3 linked regions of the Rattus norvegicus genome follow. The protein of the gene in region 1 interacts with the protein of each later gene in a pairwise test. Links are inferred from orthologs where the notes say so. Each region holds a gene or a part of one and is shown in the gene's direction. Other genes may lie near its edges. The genes, in order: Efemp2, Creb5 and Ammecr1.

Evidence for each region.
Region 2: the proteins of Efemp2 (region 1) and Creb5 interact in binary tests that used the Homo sapiens proteins (3 or more experiments, as listed by UniProt). The two-hybrid records come from large-scale screens. The link is inferred for Rattus norvegicus from reciprocal best matches to the Homo sapiens genes EFEMP2 and CREB5.
Region 3: the proteins of Efemp2 (region 1) and Ammecr1 interact in binary tests that used the Homo sapiens proteins (3 or more experiments, as listed by UniProt). The two-hybrid records come from large-scale screens. The link is inferred for Rattus norvegicus from reciprocal best matches to the Homo sapiens genes EFEMP2 and AMMECR1.

What each region holds. Positions count from the first base shown.
Region 1 is NC_086019.1:212,206,606-212,217,149, forward strand, and holds the start of Efemp2 (EGF-containing fibulin-like extracellular matrix protein 2 isoform 1 precursor), read left to right. Parts: upstream 1-5,116; 5' UTR 5,117-5,213; exon of another isoform or gene 5,214-5,443; coding exon of another isoform or gene 5,444-5,509; coding exon 5,510-5,620; intron 5,621-5,850; coding exon 5,851-5,899; intron 5,900-6,538; coding exon 6,539-6,745; intron 6,746-7,968; coding exon 7,969-8,091; intron 8,092-8,331; coding exon 8,332-8,448; intron 8,449-8,559; coding exon 8,560-8,679; intron 8,680-10,125; coding exon of another isoform or gene 10,126-10,142; intron 10,143-10,353; coding exon 10,354-10,473; intron 10,474-10,544. UniProt on the Homo sapiens protein: Plays a crucial role in elastic fiber formation in tissue, and in the formation of ultrastructural connections between elastic laminae and smooth muscle cells in the aorta, therefore participates in terminal differentiation and maturation of smooth muscle cell (SMC) and in the mechanical properties and wall integrity maintenance of the aorta.
Region 2 is NC_086022.1:83,720,403-83,730,946, forward strand, and holds the start of Creb5 (cyclic AMP-responsive element-binding protein 5), read left to right. Parts: upstream 1-3,822; 5' UTR 3,823-3,881; intron 3,882-3,938; exon of another isoform or gene 3,939-4,037; 5' UTR 4,038-4,076; coding exon 4,077-4,238; exon of another isoform or gene 4,239-7,023; coding exon of another isoform or gene 7,024-7,026; intron 7,027-10,544. UniProt on the Homo sapiens protein: Binds to the cAMP response element and activates transcription.
Region 3 is NC_086039.1:111,361,838-111,372,381, reverse strand, and holds the start of Ammecr1 (AMMECR nuclear protein 1), read left to right. Parts: upstream 1-4,282; 5' UTR 4,283-4,295; coding exon 4,296-4,771; intron 4,772-10,544.

The sequences.
Region 1 (10,544 bases):
TGTCTCCATTCTAAGTGGGTCCTGGGTCTAAAGAAGCTCCCACCCCACCACTGACGTTCAGCCTGGGAAACAGCCACCATGACCAGAGATAGGTGCAAAGACTTGGCTTTCCAGGGTTCATGCTTGGGGCAAAGGGGGGGGGTCTAATCCTGGAGTCATCCACTTACATGCTCTCTACCTCACATCTACATTAGGGGCTGTCTTAGGAAGCTATGCTCCATTCAACTCCACCCCTATCTCTCCCTGGGACAGTAAGCCAAGGGACCTCTCTATTTAAAAAATGCTACTCTCTTTAAGACAAAGAGGACAGACTGTCCATAGGTGCCTAGCCCAGTTTCCCCCAGCCCAAATATGTACCCCAAGTTGATCTTGTGCTGTGTGGGCTGAATGTAGGTGACATGTCATTTGTGCTCTCTTGTGGAAGGCTAAAAGGAAGGACTGGGGACTTTACTCCTGGTTCCTTCCATCCCTCAAACGTGAACTCTGCAAGGACAGGTTCTGATGGTGTTTTGGACAGCACTGTGTCCTTGGTCCTGGCACATTCTGATCAGCAGTGGCCACTCAGAAAACACTTAAATGAATGGGTGACTCCCCTGATCACTCGGTCCCTCCCTTATCCTATAGCTCCTGCCCAGCCACCAACCAGTCAGGGCCGGGCTGTGAGTCCAGGAACCTCACTGTCTTTGAGGAAAGAGAACACTCTACAATTTGTCCCAGGTGTCACCAACATAATGAGAACAAAGTTAGAACTCAGATCCTGCTATTCTAAGACTGAACCTTGTTCCCATGAAGAACAAGAAGGAGCCATGAATGAATACCTGGCCAGGCTCTTCAAGTCCCACACCACCACTCAGAGCTGCTGTTGTCACTTACAGCACCAAGATCCAGACAGAGAGGACTCAGAAACACAGTGGAGGACTCAAACTTGAGCAGGAACTTCCAATTTTGTACCAGTAAGCTCAAGTCATCCTGCCCCTGCCTTCCTGACAGCCTCCTCTGACCTCTGCCACCCTGGTGACTTTACCTAACTTCCCTGGATTGGCATCATCCCTGGGAAGCTTCCCATTTGGTTGCTTCCCAATCTCTCAGCCTTCCCATCTGTGAAGGGAGTAGCAATGGAATCCCATCTCTGGCTTGGCAAGATTGCAGTGTATCCCTGCAAGTGTCTGGGATGGTTAGATCTTGATCATCAGGAGTTTTACTTCACGTCATTAACATCTTAATAGTTGGTTATGGTGGCTCACGCCTGTAATTCTAGCACCTAGGAGACTGAGAGGAGAGGCTGGCCAGAAGTTCAAGACTAGCCTGGTTTCTTAAAATGTTCCAGACTTGGCTGGAGAGATGGCTCAGTGGCTAAGAGCACTGACTGCTCTTCCAGAGGTCCTGAGTTCAAATCTCTTTTTTTCTTTCTTTTTTTTTTTGGAGCTGGGGACCGAACCCAGGGCCTTGCGCTTCCTAGGCAAGCGCTCTACCGCTGAGCTAAATCCCCAACCCCTGAGTTCAAATCTCAACAACCACATAGTGGCTCACAACCATCTGTAATGAGATCTGATGCCCTCTTCTGGTGTGTCTGAGGACAGCAACAGTGTACTCATATATAATAAATAAATAGATCTTTAAAAAAAAAAAGTTCCAGACTAGCCTGGTCTATATGAGATCCTGTTTCAAACAGCAACAACAGATTAACTGAGATGTAAGTTGCTTACTATGCAATTTACCTTTGTGGTTTTTTTGGTTTTTTTTTTTGTTTTGGTTCTTTTTTTCGGAGCTGGGGACCGAACCCAGGGCCTTGTGTTTCCTAGGTAAGCGCTCTACCACTGAGCTAAATCCCCAGCCCCGTGGTTTTTTCATTTATTATATATAAGTACACTGTAGCTGTCTTCAGACACACCAGAAGAGGGCATCGGATCTCTCTACTGATGGTTGTGAGCCACTATGTGGTTGCTGGGAATTGAACTCAGGACCTCTGGAAGAGCAGTCGGGTGCTCTTAACCGCTGAGCCTTCTCTCCAGCCCACCTTTGTGGTTTTTTTGTTTGTTTGTTTCTTGTCTTCTTGTTTTCAAGACAGGGTCTCACTGTGTAGCTCTAGCTGTCCTGGAACTCACTATGTAGACCAGGCTGGACTCAAATTCACAGAGATCCACCTGCCTCTGCCTCTTTCAGGCGGAGATAAACGATGTAAGCCCCCACTGCGCAGCTGCAACTCACCTCTTAAGAAAATAATGGATGTAAGCCAGTGTGGTGGTGCGCACCTTTAGTCCTAGCACTTAAGAAGCAGAAGCAGTTGGATCTCTGATTTGGAGAATAGTGTGGTCTATAGAGAGAGTTCCAGGACAGCCAGGGTATGTAAAGAAACCCTATCTCAAACACCAAGACCCCCCCCCAAAAAAAACCCAAGGATTATATGTATATTTGAAACAGTGTCTCTCAATGTAGCTGGAATTCTCTATGGAGACCAATCTGGTCTCAAACTCAGAGATCCACCTGCCTCAGGTTCTGGGATTAAAGCCATGTGCCACTAGGTCAGGGACACTTTTCCCCTTGTGTTTCTCTCTCTCTCTCTCTCTCTCTCTCTCTCTCTCTCTCTCTCTCTCTCTCTCTCTCTCCTCTCATCTCCCTCCCTCCCTCCCTCCACCCTCCCTCCCCCAATCAGGCTTTGAGATTGGCTTGATTGGGCAATGGGGAATGGAGAAAGAACAGACAGGCATGAAGAAAATCCAGGGATCTGGTGGGCCGTGTGTTCTGAGGGAGACATCAGCAGCCTGGAAACTCAGCTGATTTATTATAGGAGCTGGAAGAACAGAGTTAGCTAATCTCCTTAGGGGATCTCTGCAGGGAAGCAGTCTCAGGCTGCAGTCATCTGGGCTTTCAAAATACACACACTGTCAGCATCTGTGCTCATGGAAGGCCTTGGCAGTTCTCTGAGCCTGACTTGGAGAAGGCCTTGCCCTTCCCACAGGTCCGAGTGGTTGGGTCCTATATTAATGGGATCCATGTTTGCTCAGGACTTCATCTGCTCCCCATACTTTTTTTTGCCTCTGTGGGCTTTGTTCTACATCAGAATTCCAACACACATTCACACTCATGCACACTCATACATTTTCACACACTTACATACTTTCACACATATACAGACATTCACACATATTTACACACATTTACACACTCACACATACATTCACACAGTCATACACATACATTCACATACAGTCACGTACATTCACACATACACACACTCATGTACAGACACTCTAGTGTGTCAGGAGTTACTGGGATTAAACTTTGGATCTTGGTAATGCCAAGCAAGCAGGATGCTACTGAGCTACACCCCTAACCCTTTATTGTTTAAAAAAAAAAAAGTCAGTGTTGTAGAAATGACTCTAGTATTCCTCTTCCAGACGACCTGAGATTGGTTCCCACGTCAGGCAGCTAACAACTTCCTGTAACTCCAGATCCACACTCTGTGCACACCTGCACTCGGGTGTACATACCTCTACACAGATGCACACACATATGCATCTTTAAAAGTTAATAAAAAAAATTTTTTTTTCCAGAGCTGAGGACTGAACCCAGGGCTTTGCGCTTGCTAAAGCGCTCTACCACTGAGCTAAATCCCCAACCCCAATACAAATTTTCTAATCAAGATAATGGAAGTTGAGGAGATGGCTTACTGGGTAAAATGCTTGCTACACAGCATGAGGGTCTGGGTTCTGATCCCCAGCTCTACCATAAAGACCAGCTGTAGTGGTGATGCATGTCTGTAACCCCTAGAGGGTCAGGGAGGTGGGGACTGAGAGCACACTAGCCAGCCAACCAATCTATCTAAAATAGTAAGTTCCAGACTCAGTGACAAACCCTGTCTTTTTTTTTTTTTTTTTTTTTTTTTTTTTGACAAACACTGTCTTAGGGTGGAGAGCGATAGTCTCCATTAGTACATAGGCACACACGCACATACCACACACATTACCACTCAGACAATTAAATGAAATGAAGCAGAATTTTTATTTCCGTCACAGCAGAGCGGAACATGGTAGTGCACGCCTTTCATCCCAGAACCTAGGAGGCAGAGACAGGCAGATCTTTGTGAGTTCGAAGCCTCATCTACTTAGTGAGTTTCAGAACAGTCAGAGCTACAGTTTGAGACTCTGTCGCAAAAAGACAAAACAAAAACAAACAAAAAAAGATGGAAAGAGGTTGGGAAAGGGAAAGGAAGGAAGGAAGGCCGGGTTATTGCCGCTAGCGGTCTGGGCCAAGCACGGGAGCCCTGGACACGCAACCCTTTCCCGTCTAGACCCGCCCTGAGACGTGGGCAACGCGAAGTCCCGCCCATTTACCCCTTCCTGGGCGCCAGAGGCACCCAGACTCCGCCTCCAAGGCATGATCTCCGCTGGGGGCGGAGGCGGAAACTGGGTGGGGGACTTGGATGGGAAGAGGGTCGGGAAAGGGCTGGCACTGGGCCCTAGTGTCCTCCGCGACCAAGTTCAAGCTTGCCCGCCTTCTCAGGGGCTTCCATTCATTTCGGGCCAAGACTACTGCTGCCCTCGCCCCCATACTATTGTAGCGTTGCGCAGGCAGGGCTTGGGGAAGCAGTGCCCTGAGTAAAGAGACCACCTGGGGGTGGTGGAGGTGGATACAGAGGGAATTGGACAATTAATTGTATGCCTGGACGAGGATCAGGAAACCTTGGATGAAGTTTTAGGACCATCTAAGAGTGTAACACTGGATAAAATCCTGAAAGTGGTAGCATTTGGAGATCTGAGGATTAAATAAATGTTTGTTAGGTTCTGGGAAGCGCAGAATCCGGTTACACGGAGGTGCGAGTGCACAGAGGGATTCCGGAGGCACAGGTTAGATAGGGTTTAGGTGGACAGAATAATCATTTTGAGTGAGGGCCTGGGGTCCCCAGGTGAGTTTGGGTGCCAAGCATCAAGGTCAATGGTCTAAGGACCCAAACATTGGGAAACTGACTAGGCGTCCACAGGCGACTCCAGGCAGCGCCGCGGGGGACCGGGTGGGGGCCTGTGGCCGGCCGGGGCGGAGAAGCCGGGGGGTCGGGGTCCCTCCCCCTGGCGCGGGCTCAGGAATCCGCCGAAGGGCGGGCGGAGGCGCCGGGGTGGGCCGCGGCGGGCGGGCGGGGGGCGCTTCCTGGGGCCGCGCGTCCAGTGAGCTGCGCGGTCCGTCCGTCCGCCCGCAGGCACTGCTGGAGTCAACGCGTGAGTGGCCTCCAGCGGAGGGAGGGCGCGGGCCGTGTTGCGGCCGAGTATATGCTGCGCGGAGCGGAGAGGCCTGCGCTTCATGACTCGTGGGGCGGGGGCGGGGCGGTCCAAGATTGCGGCCCTGAGCCCCAGGCCTGCGAAGGGACTCGGTCCCCAGCCCTGGAAGGTTTCGGTGCTCCCAGAACAGTCCTGGGACGAGATAGCTGGGACCCAGCCTCCCCTTCCAGATGGAGGGAATGGGGGGTGTCGTGGCAGAAACCCCTGACTTCTGCCCACCCCCTCTCAGCCCCAGGATGCTCCCATTTGCCTCCTGCCTCCCCGGGTCTTTACTGCTCTGGGCGTTTCTGCTGTTGCTCTTGGGAGCAGCGTCCCCACAGGATTCCGAAGAGCCGGACAGCTACACGGTGGGGACCTTGGGGTCACCAGCTTGGGATGGGATGGGAAGGACAGCGAGTGAGGCAGGATCCTGGGGAGGCTGCTTCTGGGAATGATTCTCCCCTGCTTGGTTGGTGGAAAGCTGGAGGCCATTGTGTGGAGCTGACCTGAGCATGACTGAGCTCAAGCCCTGGTCTTGGCCTGGCTAGTTGGAGGAGACAGCCAGGGTGGTCACTGGCCACATCGGGTTCCCTTCCAGGAATGCACAGATGGCTATGAGTGGGATGCAGACAGCCAGCATTGCCGGGGTGAGTATGTCTGGGGTACTAGCCATCTTCAGGAACTGGGAAGGGGATTACTTCTGTTTCCCAGGGACACCTTATCTCCCAGAGCTGCAGCAGGAACTTGATGGCCTTCCCACTGTCCACCCTGGTAGCCAGCCATCTGGTAGGCAGCCATGCTTCTCTTGTGCCACTCAATTAGGAGCCCTACCCCTTCAAGAGGGTGAACAAACTCTGCCTCTGTCCTGCAGGAGGCAAGAGAGCACCTGGCTATTGCCCAGAAAGAAGGAAATACGTACACCTTCCCTGAACTGCACTGCACTCTCCCAGCCCAGCTCTATCCCAGTGCACCCTGGGAGGGCAGTACAAGCTCTGTGGGTCAGGAGGCCTGCAAATTACTCTTGGGCAAAGGTAGAGGCAGGGATTTGAAGAGAAACGGAAACTCACATGGAGGCAGGAGAATGGGGGTAACAGTGTGAAATAGGGGGCCACACACCCAGTCCTGCAAATGCCTGGGAGGGGTTCTGGGTCGGCAGCCTTTGCTGAGCAGAGAGAAAGCCTTGCTGTGTTGCTCAGTTTAGAGAAGGCCAAGTTGGGCTTCTGCCTCCCACTACCTCCAGGGCCAGCCCAGGTGACTGGCTGTGCCCAGCAGGCCCCTCTCTGCAGATGTCAATGAGTGCCTGACCATCCCCGAGGCTTGCAAGGGTGAAATGAAATGCATCAACCACTACGGGGGCTATTTGTGTCTGCCTCGCTCTGCTGCCGTCATCAGTGATCTCCACAGTGAAGGACCTCCACCACCAGCAGCCTCTGCTCAACACCCAAATCCTTGCCCTCCGGGCTATGAACCTGATGAACAGGAGAGCTGTGTGGGTAAGTGGGGGCCATGCTGGCACCTAGGCTTCCAGGCCTTTTATAAACTTTTTTTAAAAAAAACTAACTTTGGGGGTTGGGGATTTGGCTCAGTGTAGAGCGCTTGCCTAGCAAGCTCAAGGCCCTGGGTTCGATCCCCAGCTTCCAAAAAAAAAAAAAAAAAAAAAAAAGAATAGAAAAAAACACTAACTTTGTATTTACTGTTCAAAGTAATGTGTTTTATCATGGTGCCATCTCGGCATATATCATTCTTGTTTCTTTTAATCCTCCAGTAGAGTTATTTTAGTCCTCCTTAGTTTGTTTCTTTGTTTTTGATTTTTGAGAGAGGGTTTCTCTGTGTAGCCTTGGCCATCCTAGAACTCAGACTCAGAGATCCACCTGCCTCTGTACCCCACCATCCAGCTATGTACTTTGGGTTTTGAGATCGTTTCTGGATTTGATTCCTGGCACCACAAAAAAAACACAAAAAACAAGTGTGGTAGCGCACACCTGTAACCCACCAGTGGGGAGAGAGCAAAAAGATCCGAAAGTACAGGTTATCCTCAGCTGCGTAAGAACTTTTGAGGACCACCTGAGGCTGCCCGAGATCTTACCTCAAAACAATTAATTAACAAAATAATAAAGTAATTTTCCCTATTTAATACCCCAGACCTCATGCTCCTTCCGTCTGGCTGCTCAGAGAAATATCCAAGTTTTCATCTACTGCAGGCTCAGTGCATGGTCTGCAGGCCCAGGATGTCCCTAGCAGCCTCAGTTCCTGGACAGACATGTGAGAGCTCTGCTCCCAGCCTCTGCCAGCTTTTTGATCTGGAGTCAGGTCTGGGAGGAGGAGAGATCCTGGCCCTGCAGTCAGCTGCGGGGTATAAATGGACAGGGCTTTATTTGTCTGTTTACTTATGTATTTATTTTTAAGACAGTGTCTCACTCTGTAGCCCTAGCTACAACTAGCTTGGCACTCACAGAGGTCCTCTTGCCTCTCTTCCCCCGCAGTGGTGGAATTGAAGGTGTGTGCCACCAGTTCCCACAAGACCCTATTTTAGTATGTTCTCCTAATGGGTACTTTTCCTGGTAATTCCTTGGTGGACTCTTTTTTGGACTATTGGGATGATCTCAATTAAATGTTCATGATTTGATGCCAACTACCCATGTGCATGGGCCCCCTCCTCACACGGTCCTTAGCATATGGGGGACTCCAGGCAAAGGCTGAATGGTGTCTCCCACAGATGTGGATGAGTGTACCCAGGCTATACATGACTGTCGCCCTAGCCAGGACTGCCATAACCTTCCTGGCTCCTATCAGTGCACCTGCCCCGATGGTTACCGAAAAATTGGGCCCGAATGTGTAGGTGAGTTCGGTGGCTTTCCTAAGTTCCTGCTCTGTGACCTTGGTCTGCTTCTTGATCTAATACCTTACGTCACCCCAGCCCTCTGCTGCTGGTGCACTCCTGTCACCAGACCCACTAGACATGTGGGCGACTCAACTCAGCTCCCCGACAAAGGCAGGGGTGAACGTGGGTGCTGAGGTGAGCTGGCTCAGGCCCCACCTAGCTTGTGTTCTACTTTCCGTCTCCTGCCTCCCATCTCAGACATAGATGAGTGTCGCTACCGCTACTGCCAGCACCGATGCGTGAACCTGCCAGGCTCTTTCCGATGCCAGTGTGAGCCCGGCTTCCAGTTGGGACCTAACAACCGCTCTTGTGTGGGTGAGGCTGTGCCAGACCAGGTTCTGGGATCCTGGGTAGAGATGGGTGAGGTAGGGGCAGGATCTCCTTCCTGAGCCCAAGTCGAGTGGGTGTTTGTCCTTGCACCCTCAGATGTGAACGAGTGTGACATGGGAGCCCCGTGTGAGCAGCGCTGCTTCAACTCCTATGGGACCTTCCTGTGTCGCTGTAACCAGGGCTATGAGCTACACCGGGATGGCTTCTCCTGCAGTGGTGAGAGTCCACTTGTGCTACTGGATACTGCATTGGTACCCCCCCCCCCCCGCACTTGCAACGTATTGGACCAACTCCAGTCACACAGTCATTTGTTTGAGGCTTCGATGTCTCGCTCTCTGCACCCGCAGGCCTTCATGAACTCCATCTTGAGCTGGTTGTTTGGCACTCCCAGCTTGGGGGGTTGGTACGATAGGTGCTTCTGAAGCTTGCTGGAGAGACAGAGAGGGATGGAGGTGCCCGTCTTCCTGAAAGTTGAGTTGACTTGCATTGGAATCCTGCACTAGGAAAGTCTCTTCTTCCTGGGCACATTTCTAAGGCAGATGGGCTATTTGGAGAGTTAGGGACAGTGACTGACAGGCTTCATCAAGTCTCAGGCAGAAAAAGTAGGTGCCATGCGTTTATAACTTAAATTTTCAGTCTCGTTTTATCTGGTCAGTGATGATTTACTTTTGTAAACAGAACATTAAAGGTGTGTTGGTGGAACTGTAGAAAGTAAGCAGAACGTTGAGAGACAGTGGTGACTTTCATCTTTCCCCTTACAGAGATGAAGTGACCTGTCCAAGTTCAGATGGGAAGGATGAGGCGGGGCTTGGGCTTACCCCAGGCATCTCAGCATGTCACCCGGCACACCCTCATTGTTGTGTGCTCTGTGAGGCACAGCATCATTGGTGTTTAGCGGTGTGAAAGGAGCAAGAGCAGACAGATAGGATGCTGCATGTGGGTCACACGCTCAGCCAATCTGGGCATTCTGACTGCAAATCGCAAGACTTACAGAAAAGAATAGAGCAGGTTAGCCCCTCAGGACACCTCTAGTCTAACCTACTCATTTAACTGGCTCAACGTGGACCAACGTGGCTCAATGTGGTACCCCCAAGCCTCTAGACTGGTGTTGCTTTTTAAGACAGAGCCTATATTACCGTGGCTGTTGTAAAGCTCTCTGTATAGATCAGGCTAGCCTACAGAGATCTGCTGAGTCGTGCTAGAATCAGAGGCACAGGCCACCATGTTAGGCTAGTGCTTTGTTCCGTATTCTTAAAGTCCTGGGAGAGAGGTGCTCTATATGCTTGAAGGTCTGCTGTTGTTTTGAGACAGGGTCTCATTGTGTAGCCCTGGCTGGCCTGGAGTCTCTTATGTAGACCAGGCTGCCTCACACTGACCTGCTTGCTTCCGCCTCTGCCTCCCAGATGTTGTGATCAGACACCCCATTGTTTGCTTTTCAAGGCACGATCCATCTTGTTATGTAGTCCTGGCTGGTTTTGATCTTAATATAATCCTGGTGGGGCTCCCCATGTGGATCAGGCTGACCTTGAACTTGGTATAATCCTCCTGCCTCTACCTCGCAAATGCTGGGATTGTAGACTATAGCACCATGCCAAGCTTCAAACCTTTCTATTCTTTGTCTTTTCTTTTTCCTCTCCCTTTCCTTGCTGGGATGGAACCTAGAGCTTCAAGCGTGTTAGGCAAGTACTCTACCACCGAGCTATATCCCCAGCCCTCTAACCTTCCTCTGAAACCTTCAGTCCCCCTTTTGAGCATTATGGGTTTACTTCACTCCCTCTCTCTTCCCACATCCAGCCTTATGGGGGGGCTGGGCTCTCTCGGTAAAGGTCTGTGGGACTTGGTTGTGAGGACTACCCTCGGCCCAGGGTCCTCATCCCCACCCTCCCTCAGATATCGATGAGTGCAGCTACTCCAGTTACCTCTGCCAGTACCGCTGTGTCAATGAGCCAGGTCGCTTCTCCTGTCACTGCCCACAAGGCTACCAACTGCTGGCCACAAGGCTCTGCCAAGGTACAGGTGCTTGGGTGGGCAGGAGTTGAGAGGCTGGCAGCTTACTGTCAGTCCTAGAGTCCAATTCCACC
Region 2 (10,544 bases), on another chromosome or scaffold:
TTTTAAATCTTGTGTATTAGTATTTTGTCTGTGTGTCTGTCTGTGTGCACCACATGTGTGCCTGATGACCAGGGACCGCATGGTGCTGGGAATCAAACTGGGGTCCTCCAGAAGAACAGCTAGTACTTCTCACTGCTGAGATATTTCTGCAGACCGGGCAGAAATCTGTTATTGTCATTAAACCCCAGCATGAGGAAGATTTGCCAACATTCATAGTATTTGGACAGATAACTGAACCCAAAGTACAGGACCAAAAACGGATGATGGCTTAGTTGGTAAAATGTTGTAGTGCTGTGTAAACATGAGACTCGGAACACCCCAGCACCCAGGTTAAAAACATCCAGGTGCACAGTTTGCCCCTGCATCTCCAGCACTGGGGATACATAGGACAATCCTTGGAGTGTGCTTGGAGTGCACAGGTAGTCTAGCTCAATCGGTGAGCTCCAGGGTCCATGAGGGATATTGACCTCTAGCCTTCAAGTGTGCATGCACGTGCATGCGTGTGGACATGTATGTGTGCATTTTCTTCCCAGATGAACTGCTTGGGATTGTTCATACCTAGCATTCAGTGTATCCCAGCAAGGATGTTGGTTTGGTAAATCCATGACTTTGATCCCAAGGTTCTTCCCTTCCTGGTCCACCAACTAAGGAATAACCCGTTTCATTTGTCATTGTGGATGCTACTTGTCTCTCCACAGGCCCAACCTTCTTAGCACCAGGCTGGCTTGGGTAGGGGTGCCTGTGGGTGATTGTACCCCAGCCAGTTTGGCCTGTTTTTGGTGTAAATGACCCTGGTTCCACATGTCCCACCGCATGTCTGGAGGTGAGATGTCGTACCTGACTGGGTGCTGGCATCCCAGTGTGTAAATGCCATAGACTATGCCACCTGCTGACTCACTCCCTTGCACTGTCGCCTCCTCCGTTTTACTTCAGTTCTGAGAAACCCTGGATGAGACTGGGTGAACCAGCACAAGGCAGGCAGGCTGCAAGGCCCAGTCACGGGGGCTGTTGGCAGGGTCTGATGGGCAAGAGTCTGCTTGCTGCCCACATGCCCTTGCTACCCTTGGTTGAATGATGAGGACAGTCTCTTCCAGTTACCAGATTAAGTTTACTAACTTCACTGAATGCCTACTGATGACAGCCTCGGTCCCAGTTCTTTCATTAATAGGGAGAGAGTGGGGCTTACAGAGTACTCTCCCAGAGCCAGGTACATTTGTGAATGCAAGTGACATGATTCTTGAGTTACTGTAAATATTCCCAACGTTGCATTCAGAAAGTTGGGTAGTGCCTTCATTAAAACCCAATTACTCACACTTCTGTTTAGAGAACTCTGTGAATGGGGCCATCTAACTCCTTGCAGGTGTGTGAATCTTTTGGCCATCACCCTTGCTCTGCATAATTGATTCTTCACTCCATTCCTCTGGATTATACCCATTTCTGGGGTTGGGGGACACCAGCTCTCAGCTTCAACCCTGATATGCTGGCTCTATTCCTTGGGAGCCTTGTTTCCTCTGAGAAAGGAGGTTGTCCCCTGTTCTGGGTGAGCAAGGCTGTACTGGAGAGAGAGAGAGAGAGATGGAAGGTGGGTGCAGAAGCTGCTGTTCAATGTACTGTCGCTTCCTTCCCTAAGCCCAGACAATTGAACCAACATGGTCAAGGTTTTGTTGGTTCAGATTCAGGTTAGGACCAGAATCTTCTTTCACAGTTCCTTTGGTGTTCGTTCCATGGAGAAAAGCAGCAGAAGAAAATTCACGGAGGAGCTTTTAGGAAGGCTGCAAGGAAAAAGGAGTTGTCAGCCCCTGTGATTTCAGAGAACCCTGAAGATGGGGTTGGAGTGGGGTGGGGGCATTTAAACACTTCAAACCAGAAAGGAAACAAAACGCTCTTCCACTTAGTATGTCAAAACCAGCTCGGAAATGTGACAGTTTGGGCAAAGCATTACGATTCCTAGCCAGTCTAGTCACGATCCTCTGGCAGACTGCACAGTCACGGCTGTGATGCATGGGGGTGAGAGGCACTATATAAATGTCAGATGTTACATAAATGTCAGGAACCGTTATTGTTTGTTAATGGGGGCTAAACTGTTCCTAAGCAAAGATCCAACTTCCAGCTAGCAAGTTCTTAGTTCTAACCAGTCAGCCACCAGAAGAGAATTAACATCCTTGACTCTACCAAGGAACCCAGGTGGGCACTGGGGTTAGACATGAGCTACAGTGTTCTCCCTGCTGATCTCGAGAGCGCCTAGCCTTCTGGCGTCTGCCTCAGCTCAGCTGTGAAACAGGGTAATTACAACACTGTCCCCACTTTTCCTCATCGTGCCAAGGTCTTATGAGGAAGAAGAAAACGGTGTGACTTCAAGTGTTTAGCAAAGTGTGAGTTGTTGCAGGATGACAGTGGTCATTTTGAACAGGCTTTCAATGTTCCCCAAAGGGAGCTTCCAACCCAAAAACCTAGCCCTTGGTAGGAGTGAGGAAGGTGAGAGCAGTGGCGTCTGGCCCATGCTGAAAAAGGTCAGTCCTTCTTTCCCCGCTGCAGACCTGGCCCTATATCCCATATTCTAGCCCTGGCTGCTTCCCAGCCGGTGAGCTTGGGCCAGTAGCAGAGGCTCTAGAAGCAATGGCCAGGGCCCTTCCGGCGCTGACGCGGAGTCTAAATCCGGCTCATCCTTTGGCTCTTGGCTGAGATTCACCTTTCCCCTTTAGAAAGATTCTTTCACAGGTCTGCACACGCACGGTGCGGGACTAGGGAAGACTGTGTGCTGTGTGCTGTGTGTAGTCCTACTCAGTGTACACAAGAAGTTATGTCCTTGAGAGTGATGAGGAGAGGGGCGGCGAAATGTAGACGTAATGCTGAGAAGCCAGCACGCAGAGAACACTGCAATGAGGTCATGGCTGTCGCAGGCAACGGATCTGGGTATCTTCGGGGGCTGATGTAGGGAAGTAGGCAGAGTCCTGCATTTGTAAGTGCAAAGGTCTCCCTTTACCTCCTTCAACGTCCTAACCACCTCTCTTGCTCACACCCCAAACCTTACTTCTTTCTGACCCTACAGGCACTCCTTGCAGGAGCGCTCGTGCCCCTGTCTCCTGCATGGTTCTGTTTGAAACCTTCAGGATTGTTTCCAAGCTGACTCACACCACTAATGTCGGGGGAGCCGTGTTACTCGGCGCTGGGCTGTGCAAGCTGTTGCTTGCGCGATCGCGGGCGCCGCTGCCGCAAGCACCCGGGTCCGCTCGAGGGGCGGGGTCTGGGCGGGGCGGAGACGGGCACGCCCCCTCGGCCTGCGGGCCCCGCCCCTCTCTCCCTCCTTCCCCAACGGACCGCAATGATTTAGAAGTTCAGGAATCCCACGTGACGTCACCGGGGGGGTGATGTAATGCACTCTAAATAGAATGTATTGTAATCTTTGCTCAGTCCAACGTGGTCCCTTCACCCGGGCTCGGCTCTTGCCTTCTCCACACTTGTTTGGTAAGTTCCTAAAAATACGGCGCGGCTACTTCTGGGGCTTTTGCATTTAGCCACTTTCGCTGCACTTGCCGCGCCAGCCGACTCGGAAGCGTCCTTGTTTGCAGGGGTTGGTTCATCGCTGCAGCCGCGAGGTTACTTGGTCCAATGGGCAGGTCACAGGGCAAGGAGTAGAAAGGATGCGATGCATTTTTTTTTCTTGATTTGTGTTTATAAACACTTTGGCGGATCAGAGGGAAGCCCGGCCCCAATTGCTGGTGGACTGTGGAGTTGTGCTGTGTCCTGTAGTCACCCAGAGACCCCACGCCGTGTCCGTCCCGGAGCGCGTCTCGGTGGTTGCTGCGCCGTGCGATTGGAGGGATGCTGAGTGGAGCCAGCGCCGTGTCCGACCCAGTGTGCGTGCGTGTTTGGGAGCGCGCGTGAGTTTCCCTGACACGGGGAACAGTCATGAATCGGGGGTGTATGTTTGCCTCCAGAGCCCATGGCAAGGTGCGGAACCCTCCAGAAGTGTGGTCAAGCGGCGGTGGTGGTGGCGGCGGCGGCGGAGGCGGCAGTGGTAGCAGCAGCAGCAACAGAGACCAGGAACCAGGAGCCTCCTCACATCCCGTTTCTCAATGATGCAGCGGAACCCCGGGAGAAAGTTTGCAAACTTCCACCATTTCGGCCAAGACGCCTGGTCACCTAGGGGCGGCCGGGCGAGTTTGCAGGGGGCTCTCTCTCCCACCGGTGCCCAGCGGCCGCTGCCATCTCTCGAGACCCGCTACCGGCTGCAGCTGGTGGGCGCGCGCCCCGGGAGGGACAGCTGCCCTTGGAGGGGACTTGACTTTCGCTCCAGGCGCTCCAGCTTGAGAGTGCTCCAGAGCCCTCGCCTTCACTCCTGAGCCGCCTTCCGCCTCCGTCCCCTTTGCGCTGGCACTCTTACTTCTTCCGGGCTGCCGCCCCAAATGACAGCTGGGGCCCGAGCCGCACTGCACCCAGGCGGTTCTCAGTACCGGGCGACAGAGCCTGCCTTTGAGCCAGCTTCTCCATCAACCGCTTAAACTTTTCACAAAGTTCTTAAAGGGTTGAGACAGACACCGCCCCCACTCCGCCACTTTAGAGGGACCATAGCCCGCTTTAGTTTTTCATTTATTTATTAGTTAGAGATTTACTTCCAGAGGGGTGTCTAGTAGAAAAAGCCCCAACTTTCCCTGAACGAGTGCCGTCCCCACTTGATGCTGGTTCAAAGCTGGGAACTGGAGCGGGCTGCTTGTACATCGTTGTCAGTGACTGCAAAGCTTGTTTGGTTTTTTATTTTTCCCTCTTCCTGACATGTGTCAAAGAATAAAGGCTGGCTACAGGTCCATTACGTCATTCTGCAGGCTAGTAAGTGTTTGATTAAGGGCTTCAGATATTCAAGGGTTCTGGGGCTCAGAATGCTGACAAAGCAACTCTGCTCCCCTCCTCCCCGGAGCAATTGCGGGTTCCCTGGACACAGCTATTGCCCTCTCTTTCCCGACCCCTCCTCCTCCATCCTTCTCCCGCCCACCTCGTTATCACTTGGCCTGCCCCCCGCCGTTTACAGTTTTCCCCTAGGGGGAATGCTGTCCCAGGAGTGAGCTGAAGAGCTTCTGGTGCCTGAGCGAGCTCAGTACCTGATGAGCGCTCAATCCGCTCCTTCCTATTATTTAAGAAAGGGACTATCCGGGCCCTCTTTTCCCACGCGAGAATGCTCAGTCTGGATAGAAAACCCCTAGAAAGGTTTAGAAGCCTTATACGCTAATAGCGTGTGCCTGCCGTGACTTAGGAAAGCAATATGCCCACAGTTAAGAGCCCAGAGCCCGATGAGTTGATGAACTCCGTAGTCCTGGGAGAGGGATGAAGGACTTGACTAAGTCAGGTTTAGCGGAAAGGATCTATATTAGACATTTAATTTCCAGAGTCAGGGACGCGTCTGATAACTGAAAGTACCTTATAACACCTTACTGCTACGCGCAGTAGTTTCTTATTCTTGCGTTTCTATGTTTGCAGAGGAAGTTAAACGCCCAATTTACAGAACTGAGTTCTTCCCCACTTGCTCTTTAAAAGAACACTAGTAGCAAAAACACCACTATATGCGACTTGATTAGGGGACAAAGTGTGAAAACTTTTGGGGTGAGTGAATAATGATAGCTGAAATCAAGTGAAAACAAACACAGGCAGAAGCTTTTGACTGGAGAATAAGGTGTTTGAAGGCTCTTTGATTTGGGCACGGAGGAGGCTAAGTAAAGGAAATTTTATATTCTAAATAGGCAGCATTCTTGAAGAACACGTGTTTGGTTATAATTAGATCTACTTTCTCCAACATACTCTGGCCCTAGAGCAGGCTTTGTGGAGCTTGTGACTGGAGATTGCTTGACACCCCTTCCTCAAGTTTGTGGCAGTATTATTTACTGGCATCTAGCGATGAAATGGTATAGTCCCCCTATGCGAAGCACAGGCATTGAAAATGTTAAAATTCTTGTTTGTGATGCAGAAACCTAAAGGGAAAATGGCCAGGTCACCAGGCCCTGGAGAGTGTGATTAATGATCAGTGATTTAGTGATCAGTGATTAGTGGTTTTATTCAAACTGTTACCTCTGACCAGAAGCACACATCAGAGGATTAACAGGCTCTTTAGATAAATGCTCATTAGTGGAAGGGGAAAAGCAAAGATAATAGGCGTGCACCCAGGGACAACTTTCGAAGACAATCATTCCTGTCTTCACAATAATAAGCTCTATTAACAGAAAGCCCTTTTAATTTAAAACTTGCTTTTATCTTGTAAATCAAAGTTAGATGTAAAAGTTTGTAGTGCCATTATAACCTAGATTTTCCCATATCCAGGAGATGTGGATTATCCCAGTAGCGATATTTTTTTTATTTAAACAAACAATTGGAGCTTTAGAGTGACTGGACCCTGACAAGCTTAGCTCCCAGGGCTGGAAGGTGTCCCCCCTTCAGGCTTGGAGACTGCGCTTTGCTAACTAGATGGCGCACTGTTATTTGGTGTCCTGTGCTGCAGAGCACATGGGCAGAAGCTGAGCATGTAGCTGCTTGCGAGGGAGGTTGTTCTTCAGCACAACAAAGTTCATTCTGTGTAGGATTGGAGGCTAGACGGTTCTACAAGTTTTTAGTCACATTTTCCGTGTCAGTTAAATCTAGGGAGTTGAAGGCTACTGGAAAAATTAGTCTCATTACTAACAGTAACTTAAAGAAGGAGGGAGGGGAAAAGGTACCAGAGTCTATGAGATAGGTCTGAGTTGCAGAGGGAGGGGAGAAGGTACCAGAGTCTATGAGATAGGTCTGAGTTGCAGAGGGAGGGGAGAAGGTACCAGAGTCTATGAGGTAGGTCTGAGTTGCAGAGTGACTGCTAGGTGCCAGGCCTCCTCTCTCTTTAGCTCAGAGCTGGTCCACAGTCTTCTGGCCTGAAAGACTGAGCCAAGTACTCAAAGACGTGTTTCCTTTCTGATCTTGCTGGTTAAAAGAAGTTACAAGAGAGGAGGGCAATTTCTGATCTGGAGACGGCAGGAGGCAACACGGTGCGGTTTTACACTCCCAGCTATGGTAAGAGCATGCTCATGTTTGTGAAGCAGAGACAGCCCTCACATCAGTCCAGGTCAGTCTCATACTGTCACAGACAGGACTTGGAAATGGGTTTTTATCTTATGTTTATTTGTATGGGTTTTTTTGTTTTTGTTTTTGATACTTTGCTGGGATCAGTAGGATTTTGTGTAGGTGTGTATGTGTGTGTGTTTGTGTGTGTGAAAAAGAGAGAGAGAAAGAGAGAGAGATATTTATTTGTGAAATAGAATAAGTTCACAAAGCGGTGAACTGCTGTGGGGAAACTATGAGGAATGGAGAGCAAGGTGTCAGGTAAAAATCTCTTCAGAAAGCTTTCATGAGTCACTTTAATGAGTCCTTGAGTTTTAGCAAGAAGGCATTCTTTTATAAAAAACATAAAGATTAAAGGCGAAACATAACAAAAATCATGTCCACACTCAAACTTAGATCCAGACTCCTCTAAAGAAGGATGCTATTGGATAAATAGCAGTTTTACTTGAGTTTTAAAACTCTAAGATCACAACTCCCTGCCTTTTCACCCATTTTCTCATTTTCTGTTGTTTATACCACTTTTATATGAATTTGATATTTTAACTCCTTATCCTTGTATAAATTTAAATTTTCAACTTTACTCAGAGTAAATACATTTACTCATCTGATAATATCTGCAAGTCAGATTTTCTTAAAATGTAAAGAGCAGATACCCACAGATTACCTGTCAATCAGAAGCAGTCAGCATTCTAGATTGTTCCTACTCCTAAAAAAAAAAAAAAAAAAAAAAAAAGGAAGCCGTGCCTTTACTTCTATTTTGCTTTGATGTTTCCACCTTTGAATTGGTGGTGAAGTAAATGGTGGTCAGTTAGACACTTCCCCTGCATAGCTTTTCATTTGTAGAATATTCTTATTGGAACTATTTGCTGGTTTCTCCCGCCTGCATGTTCAAAAACAAGTTTTTCCACTGCAGTTTGTACCAATGTCACATTTCCAGTCTCCTGACTTCCTCCTGTGACTTTCTTTTTAGAGATCATAGATCACTGGCGTGTTCATCTTTAGTTGGGAATTATCCTGTTGGAGTCTGATGGTCCCTTCCCCCTCCTCACATGAACTTTGTCTGTGCAGTTGGTGTTCTTCTGATTGTACCATTAGACTGGAAATGGGATTTCAGTGGTGTTATTATTTTAGTCATCTTTTCTTTTCCTCTTCAAAGCAATGCTGTTAGTCACAAATTAATGTGATCAAGCCTGGTGTTTCCCATCTATATACTGCTTTTGCTGCTTGCAAATTGGATCTAAGGCAATTAAAGAATTTTTTTTTTTGAGGCAGCTTTCTTGGAGGAAGCCGGACAGTGACCTCAGTCAATTCGTTATCTTGTCCAGTTTGACTGTTGCTGTGTTATAGGAATCAACCAAGGGTTTTATAAATTAGTGCCTGAGCATTTCAATTGAAGACTATTTCTCCAAGTTCTGTTTAAGGAAATGATCCCATTGAGATAAGGAGGTACAGAGAGCAGCAGCCTTCAATAGGTCTGGAAGATAAACTTTGACAAAGAGAGCCTTCCGGCTGCTATGTGTGAACTAAGTGTGCTGTTTTCTTATAGTGATTTATGGAGGAAGTCTGGTACTTTAAAAATGACTCCATGTGATGTTTGTACTAACTAATTATTAGATTTAGTAATTAAGAGAAACAAGTGATTGATGCATTTTTAAACATTCATTATTTCTGTATTTGGGAACCACAAATGATGAATTCAGCAGAAGAACATTTTTAGGAAGAGGGAAGGCTCTGAGGTGTTTTCAGAAGTGACAACACTCTTCTGAAAACACCGGGAAAGTTTGTGAAAAGAAGACCCTGGGGCTCTCAGAGAACTCCAAGTTCAGGGAAATTTTCTGAACGCCTGCAATGTGACATGGGATGCCAAGTGACTTTTCCTATAGGTTCACTCCATGGTCTTCCCCCATTTTATCTGAAAAAAAGAAGTCAGGAATAAAAACATTGATCTGGAATTGAATACTTCAGTTGATTTCTTCTATTCCCTGAAGGTTCACATTTCTCATCCCTGTCTCCAAATGAACAGGAATGCCCCATTACCACGCTGGCATTTGACTTCACCTGATCCTTCTTTTTACCAGCCTAGAGACTTGGACGGTGGGTAGAAACCGATAACTGCATATAGATGCTGGAGCTAGGGAGGGAGAGCCTCTTGGTCAACCTCTCCAGTGAGAGGAGAAGATCCCAAGGCCTGGTTACATCCCTTAGCTTATCCAAGGCCTGGGCCACAGAGTGGGAACCAGGCCTGACTGCCTGGCCTTCTGCTTCAGCTCAGACTCTCTTTCTGTCAGGCACGCTGCCTAAACGCCCCTGTCATGGATCCACTCAGCAGAGGCCAAGGTTTCAGAAGCTTCTCTCTTTTCAAGCCCTTTCACAGTCAGCCTTTCAAAGACAAGTTTTTAAAAATTAACTTGACTGCCTTGAGCAAACAAATTGTAGTTTCTAGTCTGTATTTGCATATATATGAAATAAATGAAATCTCTATATGAAATGCTGATTTTCCTACATTCTATTTAATTGATTTTTTTTTTGCCTTAAAGTCTTCTTCATGCTTATATTAAGCCTTACAAAACCCATAGTGCTGAAGTTCCATTTGAGATTACAAACTGGGCAGGATTAAAATGGTTGAGAAGGCTGTCCCAGCATAAGGCAGTGACTTTCTTTCCTTATCCATGTCATCTTTAAGCAGAGGGTCCGAGAAGAGAGAAAAGGCTGAACGTTTATATTCACCATCATTCTGTCGAACAGAGGGAGTGCTCTGCCCACCCTCGCTCATCTACTTTGGCTTGGCACCCATCTGCAATCTGTTACGTTTTCCGAGTCAGTGTGGGAGTGAGTTTGGAGTAAATACTATTCTGTGCAAAGTGAGTTGTCTGGAAGCATGCTCTTAGGGTTTCACTGGCAAAGCTTGACGACTTATAACTAGCAGGAGTAATTTAGTAGCACAGGGGGCTCCAGAGCACTGGGTATTTTCTTTCTGATTTAGACTCTGTTGCCACTGGATGGGGGAACAAGAGCATCTAAACAGAAACCTTGAATGCTTGTACTGTGTGTATCATTTGGCTCGACCCATGTCTTTCCTTTCCAGCCCTTTGCATTTTACATCAGAACCCAGGCCTCTCTTGTTCCTTTATTACACCAAGGAGCCCCTATGTTGCAGGCATGATTTCTCAAATGCAACACATTTTGGCTAATTTTATGCAACCCTCTCGGCCAGCTTCCCAAAGGGGGAACAGAGAACAATAACAACAACAAAAAGCTTTGTTTTTATTTAAATTAGCTGACCATTAAAAGGAAAGACATTTAGTTTACATTTGGCCTATTTGGTAGGACTGTGCCCACTTTATCAAAACTCAATTTTTTCTCTTGGAGCAAACCTGGCTTCTAAAACCCAGGTTTCAACTTTTGCATCGCAGAGGGTTGAAGGCACTGGGGATAAAGTCCACTGCCACCAGAGTACTGAGGTGTGACTT
Region 3 (10,544 bases), on another chromosome or scaffold:
GTGCTCTACCACTGAGCTAAATCCCCAACCCCAAGCATATTCTTTAGATAAAGCACAGATTTAAAGGGCAAAAATATATTTCATAACCAGGAAAACAGAAACAGATTCACCAATTTGAATAAAAAAGTCAGGTAAAGAGTTTTAATATTAAGTCACATATTCATTAAACGTAATAAAGGAACTGGTCTTCACTTTTACCACCACAACCATTGGTTACATATGCACAAGGTTAGATCAAAAGTGACAGCTAAGGATATTCCATTCTGCAGTTGTTCAAGGGTGACAGTTGAAAAACTTGACTAGCAGAAGATAAAAATAACACTTGTTTGCTCAGATGTGGCGTTTTGTTTTTTTAATTCAACAATGTGAATGCTTCCCATTCACCACAAACTCCAGAAATGTAAGAAAATAATTTTGCAACATTATGAAGTTCACTATCACGTCCAATTACAATTATTCTTGTATTCTGAAAAGAAAAAAACCCGTATAAATGTGAGAATCAATGGAAACAATGATAAAATAATCAGTGGCCATTGGGTTTAATTCAGTTTCTAGTTTACTATGTAATAAACGGCATGCATATTCTCTGTTTGAGTAGTTTTCCCACTGTTGTAAAGCAAAATGCTTGACGAGTTTGTTAATAGCAGTGTAGAATGCAGATGCAGAAGCAATGATGGCTTCAATTTCAATGGAGATACAGAGCCAGAGACTTATTTACTTTCTCTTTATTGCTTAAGAGAGATGCGGAATCTTTAGCTTCCAGCTTGACAGTCAGTTAAAAAGAGCAAAAGGTGCTTTAAAGGTTCTTCTGGAATGTGTGATCACTACACTCCCAGATCAACAGAAGGTAGAAACACCACACTATCTCACTTTGACGATATTTGGACTTTGAGTCAAGAGAGTCCTGATCGTGGTCAATTTCCTTCCCACTATGCAATGTATATAGAGATAAAGAATCTATTTTATAAAATTCATATGTTTGAATGTTATCCATGTATATATCCATACGTGTCTATATGTGTTAGTTTCTGTGCTGGTGACTTTGCAAGGTTAGTATGGGACAGGAGCTAAGCTAGAAGTTAACACATAGAACATCTTTACTCCTTATTTCCCCTCCTTTCAGCCAGCCCACACAAGGAAGAACTGGAGATGAGTAAGCCCCAGGAGTCAGGTGATGGTGTCTTTTCTGCATTGATCACATTTGGGTTTATTTTCCTTGTGATAGTGAAGCTTGGAGTTGGGATTAAAAATCCTTGAGGGGAAAAGCTATTTTTGTAATTCAGCTGGAGTGTCCTTGTCGTTGGGTTTCCCCGTTGCATCAGTCGGTCCCTCAGCCTGGCAAGCTTTGTTATCTTTTAGATGAAATGTAGAACTAAGGACATGACTGCTGGTGCTTATTAAAGATTCCTTGCTATTTTTCACAAGAGTAGGGGCGTTAGACTCTTGTCTTTTGGCCAAATTCTAAATCAGGAGACTCCATTCTGCTTTCTTAAATTCCCTCAGCAGAAGCAGTGCCCATGGTATCCTACTTTGTAGTGTGATGTCATAAATGGTTCAGGCTTTATACTCTACAAGTGCTCTCATTTGGCGGAGCGTGAGGAGTAAATTGACACCTATTGCATACTATTGTATTTGATCTAGTTACCTGTGTGGGCCCCCTATTTTATTGAGGTACAATTGACAAGCAAGGTGTATTTGCTTCAGGTTCAAAATTTGATGTCTCGTAAGTGTGTGTGTGTGTGTGTGTGTGTGTGTGTGTGTGTGTGTGTTATAAAATGATCACCATAACTGAGCTAGATAACATAGTCATTATGCCATACCATCATGATTGCCTTTCTTTTAAAAATAATTTGTTTAATTGAAGTATAATAGTTGTATTTATATGCAGAATTATATAATTCAGTACATGCATCAAAGTATAATGTTGCGTAGAATAAAGGACAGAGTAAAAACAAAATCCACAGTACATCACTTATGGTACTTTTAATTTTTACAAGCACTTACTTTTCTCTTTTTCCACATGACAAAAGAATTGGCACACTTTCCCTCCAATAGTAGCGGGCAACAGTTATTTGCCTCCTTTATCACAAACCAGTTAAATCTTCCTTCTCCTCTTCCTTCTATGCTTCTGCTCCCTCCCCTTGTCTGATTCTTTTGACACAAAGTCTTTGCTATGTAGCTTGGGTTAACTTTGAGCTTGTGACGTTCTTGCTTTAGTCTTTTGAGTTTATAGGATTGTATGTATGTGCAACTCCTTCCAACTTTGTGTGTGTGTGTGTGTGTGTGTGTGTGTGTGTGTGTGTGTGTGTGTGTAGGGTGTAGGGTATAGAGGGTATAGATACTATTTAACCATCTTGGTTGATTTGTCCATTCCATACAGTTTTTTTTGGGGGGGTAGTGCATTTCTTTCTTGGTAATGTATCTCAGTGTTTTTCAAGCTTTCAATCCATAGAAACACAGATTTTATTTCTTAGTACTACTTGACTAGAGTATAGCATCACTTTTCTTTTGTTACTAATTTTTTATTATATACTGTGACTGAACAGTAGTGTAGCATTTGTCAGGCAAACGTTCTACCATCGACCGTCTACACCTTCAGCTCTGTGACCTAGGTTTAAGGATGGGACATGCTTGCATTTAAATCCTGATTCGGTCCTTTTCTACATTGGGCGAGCTACTTAATGTTTTAACTGAGGCATTTCCGATTCTTCCTGAGAAGACGGAGTGAGATGATACATTACTTTCTAGGATAGGTGTATAAGATAGGTATAATACTGCCACCCAAAAAGTGCTTAATAAATAGTTGCAATTTTTGATCAAATACACAGATCTTTCTTAATTTATGAATGAAAGAGTGGGAAGCATACATATTTTCTGCACACGTCTCTGATTTTACCAGACGTGCACGAGGATGTGAATAGAGGCTCAATGGTTAGTTAGTATGTGAACAAGCCTCACTTTTCTTCCCCTTGGGTGGAATGAAATGCTCTCAACTGTTTGTAAGGTCCCACACATTTAGATCCAAGGTACCAGAGTCAATCTTCCACTGTTTGCAGACAAACAGTCAGACTCCTGTCTTTGTGGGGGATATTTTGACACCGTGTAGACACAGTGGAGATCACTTATTTTCTATCTGGTTTATTTTTAAATGAATTTTTACATCCGGTTATTGTCATTTTACAGCTCCTTCTTAAGTGCCCAGAATGGGACTGAATTAATCATACACCTCTTTATTCATTCAAGCAGTTTTGAGACAACTTTTTAAAATGAGAATTAAGAACTGTCTCATTACGCACCCGAACAAAATCTTCTAACTTGTAACTAAAGTAACCCTACCTGACCTATATATTTATCTCCAAGGTATGGACATTACAGATATAGTTCAAATCGCTTTGTTTTTGAGTCCCCAAGCCTAAAAACCCACGGTTGCAAGTCTGAAAATACAAAGGACACCTTTGATTCTGTGGAGTGTTTGTGAGGCTCTTACTTATATATTTATTTTTACTTTTAAATGTTCTCCCTGGACTACAAGAAGATAAAGGAAACAAATCCAAGATATACACATTGAACTGGACTTTCATATTTGTCAATTAGGAAAGATTAAAGTTTTGCATTTCTAGCAAAATCTCAGAACAACTGTGGTGTCTGGTAAGGCTAGCATTAAAGACACTGTAGTGTGGCCATTTCCCAGATGGCTTTTACAGTGGCTGTCTCAGGTGTGGAGCTCCAAGGAGCACCTGCTTGCTCACACTCTTAACAGTTCAGAACCAGTGTATTTGAGGCCGTGTGGCTCAGGTTCCACCTAACTGGGCTCAAGTGTCACTAACACGACATGCACTGGGGTATCACCAAGGTGCGCTTTGAAACTTGGATGCTTATTTCAGACTTTCTTTTTTCTTTCCCCCTTTCACTAGTTTCTGTCTCCCGGCTTCCTCTTGGAGCTCGCCCACCTCCTCTCCTTCCTCCCACTTCTCCAAGTCTTGTCCTCTTTTTTTCCCTTCGCTTTTCCGCCTTCCATCCTCGGCCAGGAGCCGGCCTCCCAGGAGGCGCGAGTCGGGCGGGACCCACCGTAGGCGCCAAGCCACGAAGGCTCGTGGCGCGCGCCGCAGGCGGGGGCGCGAGCACGCCTGAGCAGTGGCGGGGCTGGGCAGCCGCCCGGCCGCTCAGCCGCGTGCGCGCGCAGACCGCGAGCCCCTAGCGCGCCCCCGGCGGCCGGGGCCGCAGCGTGCTCGCCCCCGCCGCCAGCTCGCCTCACTTATGGGTCGGAAGCGCTGCGTGGGGGAGACTGTTCCAAGATGGCGGCGGGTTGCTGTGGGGTGAAGAAGCAGAAACTGTCCAGTTCGCCCCCCTCCGGCTCGGGTGGCGGTGGTGGCGCCTCCTCCTCCTCCCACTGCAGCGGGGAGAGCCAGTGCCGAGCCGGGGAGCTGGGACTAGGAGGCGCCGGGACGCGGCTCAACGGACTGGGCGGGCTGAGCGGCGGCGGCGGCAGCGGCGGCGGCGGCGGCTGTACCCTCTCTCCCCCTCAGGGCTGCGGCGGCGGCGGCGGCGGCGGGGGCATCTCGCTGTCTCCACCTCTGAGCTGCGGAGTGGGAACCCTACTTTCTACTCCGGCCGCCGCCACCGCCTCCTCGCCGTCCTCCTCGTCTTCATCCCCCGGCTCCCGGAAGATGGTGGTGTCAGCGGAGATGTGCTGCTTTTGCTTCGATGTGCTCTACTGTCACCTGTATGGATACCAGCAGCCCCGGACCCCCCGCTTCACCAACGAGCCCTAGTGAGTACCGCGCTCCCCGTCGCCCTCTTCCCCCGGGCTCGGGATGGGGCTCAGAGTTGAGGTAAAGTGTAAGTCCTCCGCCTCCTGTTCGCGGGTTCCCCTCAGTCCCTCTTGCCGCTAGGGTCCCCAGAGCCGCCCGACCCGTGGGGCACTCGGCGCTCCCCTGCTCCACGAGGAAAGCCCACACTCGGAGCAGGGGGCTGCTTGCCAGACATGGCCCCCTGGCTTCCAGACTGCTCCCGCGCTTCCTCTTTGCGCTAACTTCCAGGAGTTTTGACCCCTTCCTTCGCTGCTTTCTACCCCTCACCCGCCACCCCACCAGCGTTGGTGGAGATCTGGATCACTGTCGGTAGCGACCTCTCCTCACTTTGCTCGCCATTACCCCACGTGAAAGCCCCGCCAGTATTCCCGCCCCGCGTACCTTGCACATGGAGAGCTACTATCCCATTGCAGGGTGAAAAATAGCAGTGATCTAACTTCTATTCTCCTAGTGATGGAACTTAGCTCTGGATCTCCAGGGAGGTTGCCCATCTTTTCCTCCGGGTTTCCCTCCCTGTTCCTCGGGGAGGGGAGAGGTTCCTTAAAACACCTTTTGCCTTATTACCTATTTTTATCTGAACATACCCATTAAAATGCATTTCTAGTGAAGCTAACGCACCACCTCACAGTTGAGAGTGAGACCTTTTTTTCCCCCTCTTCCTTCTTCCTTCCAGTGTCTTGGTATAGCACATTAAAAGAAAGAATGTTGTCCCCAAAGAGGCACTGTCAATGCGTGCGTTTGCTTTTGTGTGGATTAAGCAACCTATGTTAAACTCAATGATTTGAGGAATAGTTAAACAACGCGGTACATGTGTAGGCACTTTTATGATTTCCTTTGGCTTTTGTAACTTAACATTAGTTTATACCCTTCAAGTATATGGTTGAAACTGTTTAAAAATAGCACTGTTACAAGCTAAAAGCCAGGTTACTTCTAATCTCTGTCCATTTGGATGTGTGGGAGATGGGGCATATGGTTTTTCTTTTAAAATGTGTAAACTGAGTGTAAACTGACTTTCTGAGCTAAGTGCTAGACAGAATGTAAAGTCCAAAGGAAGGCAGAATGGGAAAGGGGGCAATTGTTTGATTATGACTACTGGCATCCACCAGAAAAATACAGAAAAAAAACTAAGTACACTCATACTGAAAATCATCAACCCCATCCCTTCTGCTCAAGAGCTTCTTGTTTCCCACAGAGTAAAGACATGAATTGATGTTCTTTTTAACTTGCTGCTTCTCATTTTGTGAGATTAGAGGAACGAACTACTACTGCTGGATAATTATGAACAGTCTGACGCTACTAAAACATTAAATTAATGTGTAAAGTGGAAATTACAATAAAGTGTCCTGGAAATTGTGTGTTCGTATTGTTTGTTTTCTTTGCTTTCATTCTTTAAATGTCTTTAATTTTGTAGGACTCTGCTGTGCTCTGGACATTTCTTTAGGTTTGGTTCATCTTTGGGCCTCAGCTCCTGAGAAATGTATGAAAAGGTGTCCAGGTGGACACAGTCGAGTAAATTAAGTGCTTTTGGCAAGTTAATAATGTTAATTTAACTTAAACTCTAAATCTCCACTTTTACTTGGCCTATTTATTTTTCATTAAGAGGTAAAATTCATTTTAAAAAGATAGCCATATTAAAAGGAAATCTATGAGATACTCTCTAGGTTATTAGTGACTTTTTTTTTTTTTGCCTTTTCTTGGGTGGCCATGATGTAGTAAAAGCTAGACCTGGGATGATTCTTAGGCTGGCTCTGGAAAGTCCTGGGGTTGTAAAAATTTACTCCTGTTCAGCTCTTGAGCTGTTACATGAGTTTGGCAGAGGCTGTTTTAGCATTCACGCCCCATTGCTCCAAAGCATATGAGAACACACTTTGAGGAGGTGCTATTTTCTCACTTTTTAAAGTGAGTTTGGGTTAACTGAATAACTATCACAACAGTTAAGAGGAAAATGAGCTTGACCAGTTAGTTCAGAAGGGAAATGCTTTTAAAAAGGTTTTTTTTTTTTTGTTTTGTTTTTAATAGCAGTGGTCACTCTCCACTTGTACCTAGATTGGTTCCCTTTTAATACCCGAGTTGCTGAATTTTTGCCTCTCAAGTGTTCTTAAGCAGTTAAATAAAACACCCATCTGAGCACTGTGAATACGATGAGATGGTGGGGGAAGAAGTGTAGCTCTGAAGGGTTAGGCTTTCAGTATGCCACATTTCTATAGACCAGCTAGTTCATTGAAGGCGCTGGACCACAGCAACCAGAGAATGAAGGACTCCTCCTTCCTTTTAAACTGATTTTTAAAGTGTGCCATGTCAAATTCCAGAATATCTTCTTGATTGTGGGAGTGAAATAGCTCAATATTTCACAGTGCCTTGGAAACAACCACACATGTCTCCATTTTACAAATTTGGTATTGTGTGCTTATTATTGTGGCATTGTATAGGCTTTAAAAGATTTTTTTACTCCACTGACTTATGGGCATAATGTCATGGGCAGTATGTTTAAAGTCTTTTTTCCCCTGTCTAGCAGAAGACATGCTTCTAACATTATCAAATTGTCATATGTAAAAGCATAGGGTAGTGTTGTCATCTCCTCCTAGGCCCTTTCTGTCCGAATGCTTGTAACTGGTGTGATCTGACTTACAGATTTAGAAGTCACAGCTACATCCGTTACTCTAACACTCTGAAAGGTCATTAGAAATTTTAATTCTTTATATGTTTTGGGGTTGGGGAAGAGGTCGTCTGTGAAAGGTCACGTAGATAGATACAAATACTCCATGGTTGTCCATCTTTTGAGTACCCAACCATTGCAGAGAACACAGGTTTTTTTTCTCTCTCTCCAGAAATAAGGTTCAAGATGCAAGGAAACCATAATTTTAGGTGCATTTTCATATTCAACAGTCAAAGCTCACATAAGCCACTTTCGAAGAACCTGTTGACTAAAGGTTCCCCTGTGGCAGGTGTGGAACCAGTTAGATTCCAGAGCATTAGTTCTCAACCATGGCTGCCCATTGGAATCACTGGGAAGTTACTCAAAATATGGAAACCTATATTCTTTCCAAAGATTCTGATGATTTAGTCCACCATGACTGGGACCTGGGAATCAGAATTATTTAAGACTCCCCAGGTAATTTTAGTGTGTATTGGCATGGAGAACTGCTGGCTATTTTCTAGGTTTTTATTTTGAGATTTGGATTAATTCAATCGGGGTAGTGCCACAGACTCCATATTTTATGAGCATCTTGGGTAATTTGAGCAGACAATCAGTTTGGGAAAGGCTTGCAATGTGGTCCATAAAAGACATCACCTGGGAACTTATTAGAAATGTAGGCTCCCAAGCCCCACCTCAACCTCCCTGAATTAGAATCTGCATTTTAACAAGCTCCCTAGGTGATACTCATGCACATTAAAGTTTATGGCGGACTTGTTCTCTGACTTTAGCATACATTGTAGTTTTCTGTTGTGCTTGTTAAAATTGCAAGTTGCTGGGCACTTTCCCAGAGTTTGATCCAGTTGCTCTGGGGTGGAGCTGTACATTTGCATTTCTAACAAGCTCCCTGGTGATGCTGATGCTACAGTTCCCAGGGTCAGACACTGAGTAAGGGTGGGTTAGGGAGAACTGAGGGCCTCAATGGGTGCTCGAATGACTGTCAGTGGCAGTTTGGACAAGCATGGGCCTCTTTCTGTTTTCCTGTCCTTTTTCATTCTCAAATATCACGAGGGGAATTGAGTGCTACCAAGAGCAGGAATCAAATTCTGCGGATGGTGTGGGGCTGGGGTTACTCTAGGAAACCTGTTATGTGAATATAGATTTTTCAAGGGAAGTGATCGTGTGAAGGACATATTTCAGGAGTTAAAACCAGCATAAATAGAATAACTTAATGTGAGTTACTATTAAATAAAAGGACCCCCTCTTGTTTCCATGAAAAGTACTTTTACAGTTAGCTCCCTAAATAACAGGATGTGATGAGATTTTTTTCAAAGCCCTTATTTATACTTCTGTTTGCTGGGACTTATTTAAAGAATTTCCCTCATTAGTAAGGAAATATGAAAAAGGGTCCCAGTTAAAGCACTCAGAGTATATAGTCATAGATTTTTTAATGCTGTGGAATCTATTATATCTCATGAACCTTTTAAATTATTGTACCATCTGTGAAATTAACACTAGATTTTTTTGTAGACAATTGCACATGGATATTTTGCTTTTAAATATCAGTAAGTGGTTTTCTGTTGCAAGGAACAAAACCTTTTTTTTTAAACCCACTCTCAGACATGCAGATCTTGCAATGCTCAAGTTAGAGGATTGAGCATTAACTCTTGTCTTACCGTAAGAATAAAATTCCTATTTTCAACATGCTTGGGAGGTGTGGTGGGTTGTTTTAGAGATGGAGACACTTTGCTCTGGCCATATTGTACAGTTTTTCTTAGAAAAGAAAAGCATTTTTCTGATGCTTGCTGAGACTTTGGAAGGGTTCTTTGCACCACTGTTGATTTACATTGCAGAACTTAATGGCTCTTCTTACTGATAGAAAAGACAGGCATGTTCTCAGTTATTACTTGTACCACAACACCATCAGTGACAGACACAGAAATGTAGAAACATAAATGACAAGATTATTTTTAATCTCTATATACTGGTGTATATACAGTTAAGTATATTTATTTACTTAACTGTGGAGCTGTTTACTTTCCATTCTTCCCCATATGGCTGAAAGGAGTGATAAACTAACCCATAATTTTTTCTTGCTTATAAATTGCACTTGAGTTCAGATTCCACTTAATGTACCAGGCTAGGAGGAGCCTCTGCTGTGTTCTTTCAATTTCATGGGAAGAAAGATAATAAACGAAAATGTAAAAGTTACTTTGATAGCACATGTATGAGTTCCTTTTCTAAATATGTTTTCTCTTTCAAAACTACACTTTCTGAAACTGAAGCTGTGTCCCACAAAACCTTTTTGCTACAGTGGATTGTATTTTAAGTCAGTTGTGTTTCCCCCTTTCTATGGATAAATTCGCTTTTTGAGAATGTATATGTATGGAACACTAAACTTGTGTAATGAGATTAGTCAGAGTTCCCAGGTTTCCTGGATTTCAATAGGCATTATTCTGTGCTGTCCATGTCACGCATGCTTGCCTGTTTTAGAGCAGCACAATGGCCAGAGCTTTTACATTTACATTTTGTAAGTAGTCTTTTTCAAACTTGTGTAATAATGTCTCTTTTTATACTGTTCTGAATCAATTAAGCTAAGTAAGTGAGGACTAGCAGTAAAAACCAGTGGCTGCCAAGAATGGACCTTCAATGTGTAAGCTGTCCTTCCACATTCAGTAATTGGGTGGTTGCTCACAAGACACTGGAGACTGTGGGAAGGCAGTGGTTGTGTAGGTGGGAAGACTAGATTCCCAACAGTAAACTTATTTAGACGTGAGCTTCTGTAGTTATTGTTGCTAAGAGCAAAAACCAACTACAAGCTTATGTAGTATAAAGAAAAAAATCCAAAGCAAGATGTATGCTGTTAGAGTATATTGTTGGTTGGGAGGAGGAAAATTATGTTTGGTCCAACTATAAGTGGCATTTTTTTGTATCAAGTGTGGGTGTATTTTCTACATTTCTTAATATATCACACTTTAAAACTTGCTCAACCTTAAAAATACATTAGTGTTGAATAGCTGACTGGAAATTATGTGTCACCAGAATTTCTCTCTCGCTCGTTCTCTCACTCGCTCTCTCCCTCCCTCTTCCTCTCCCTC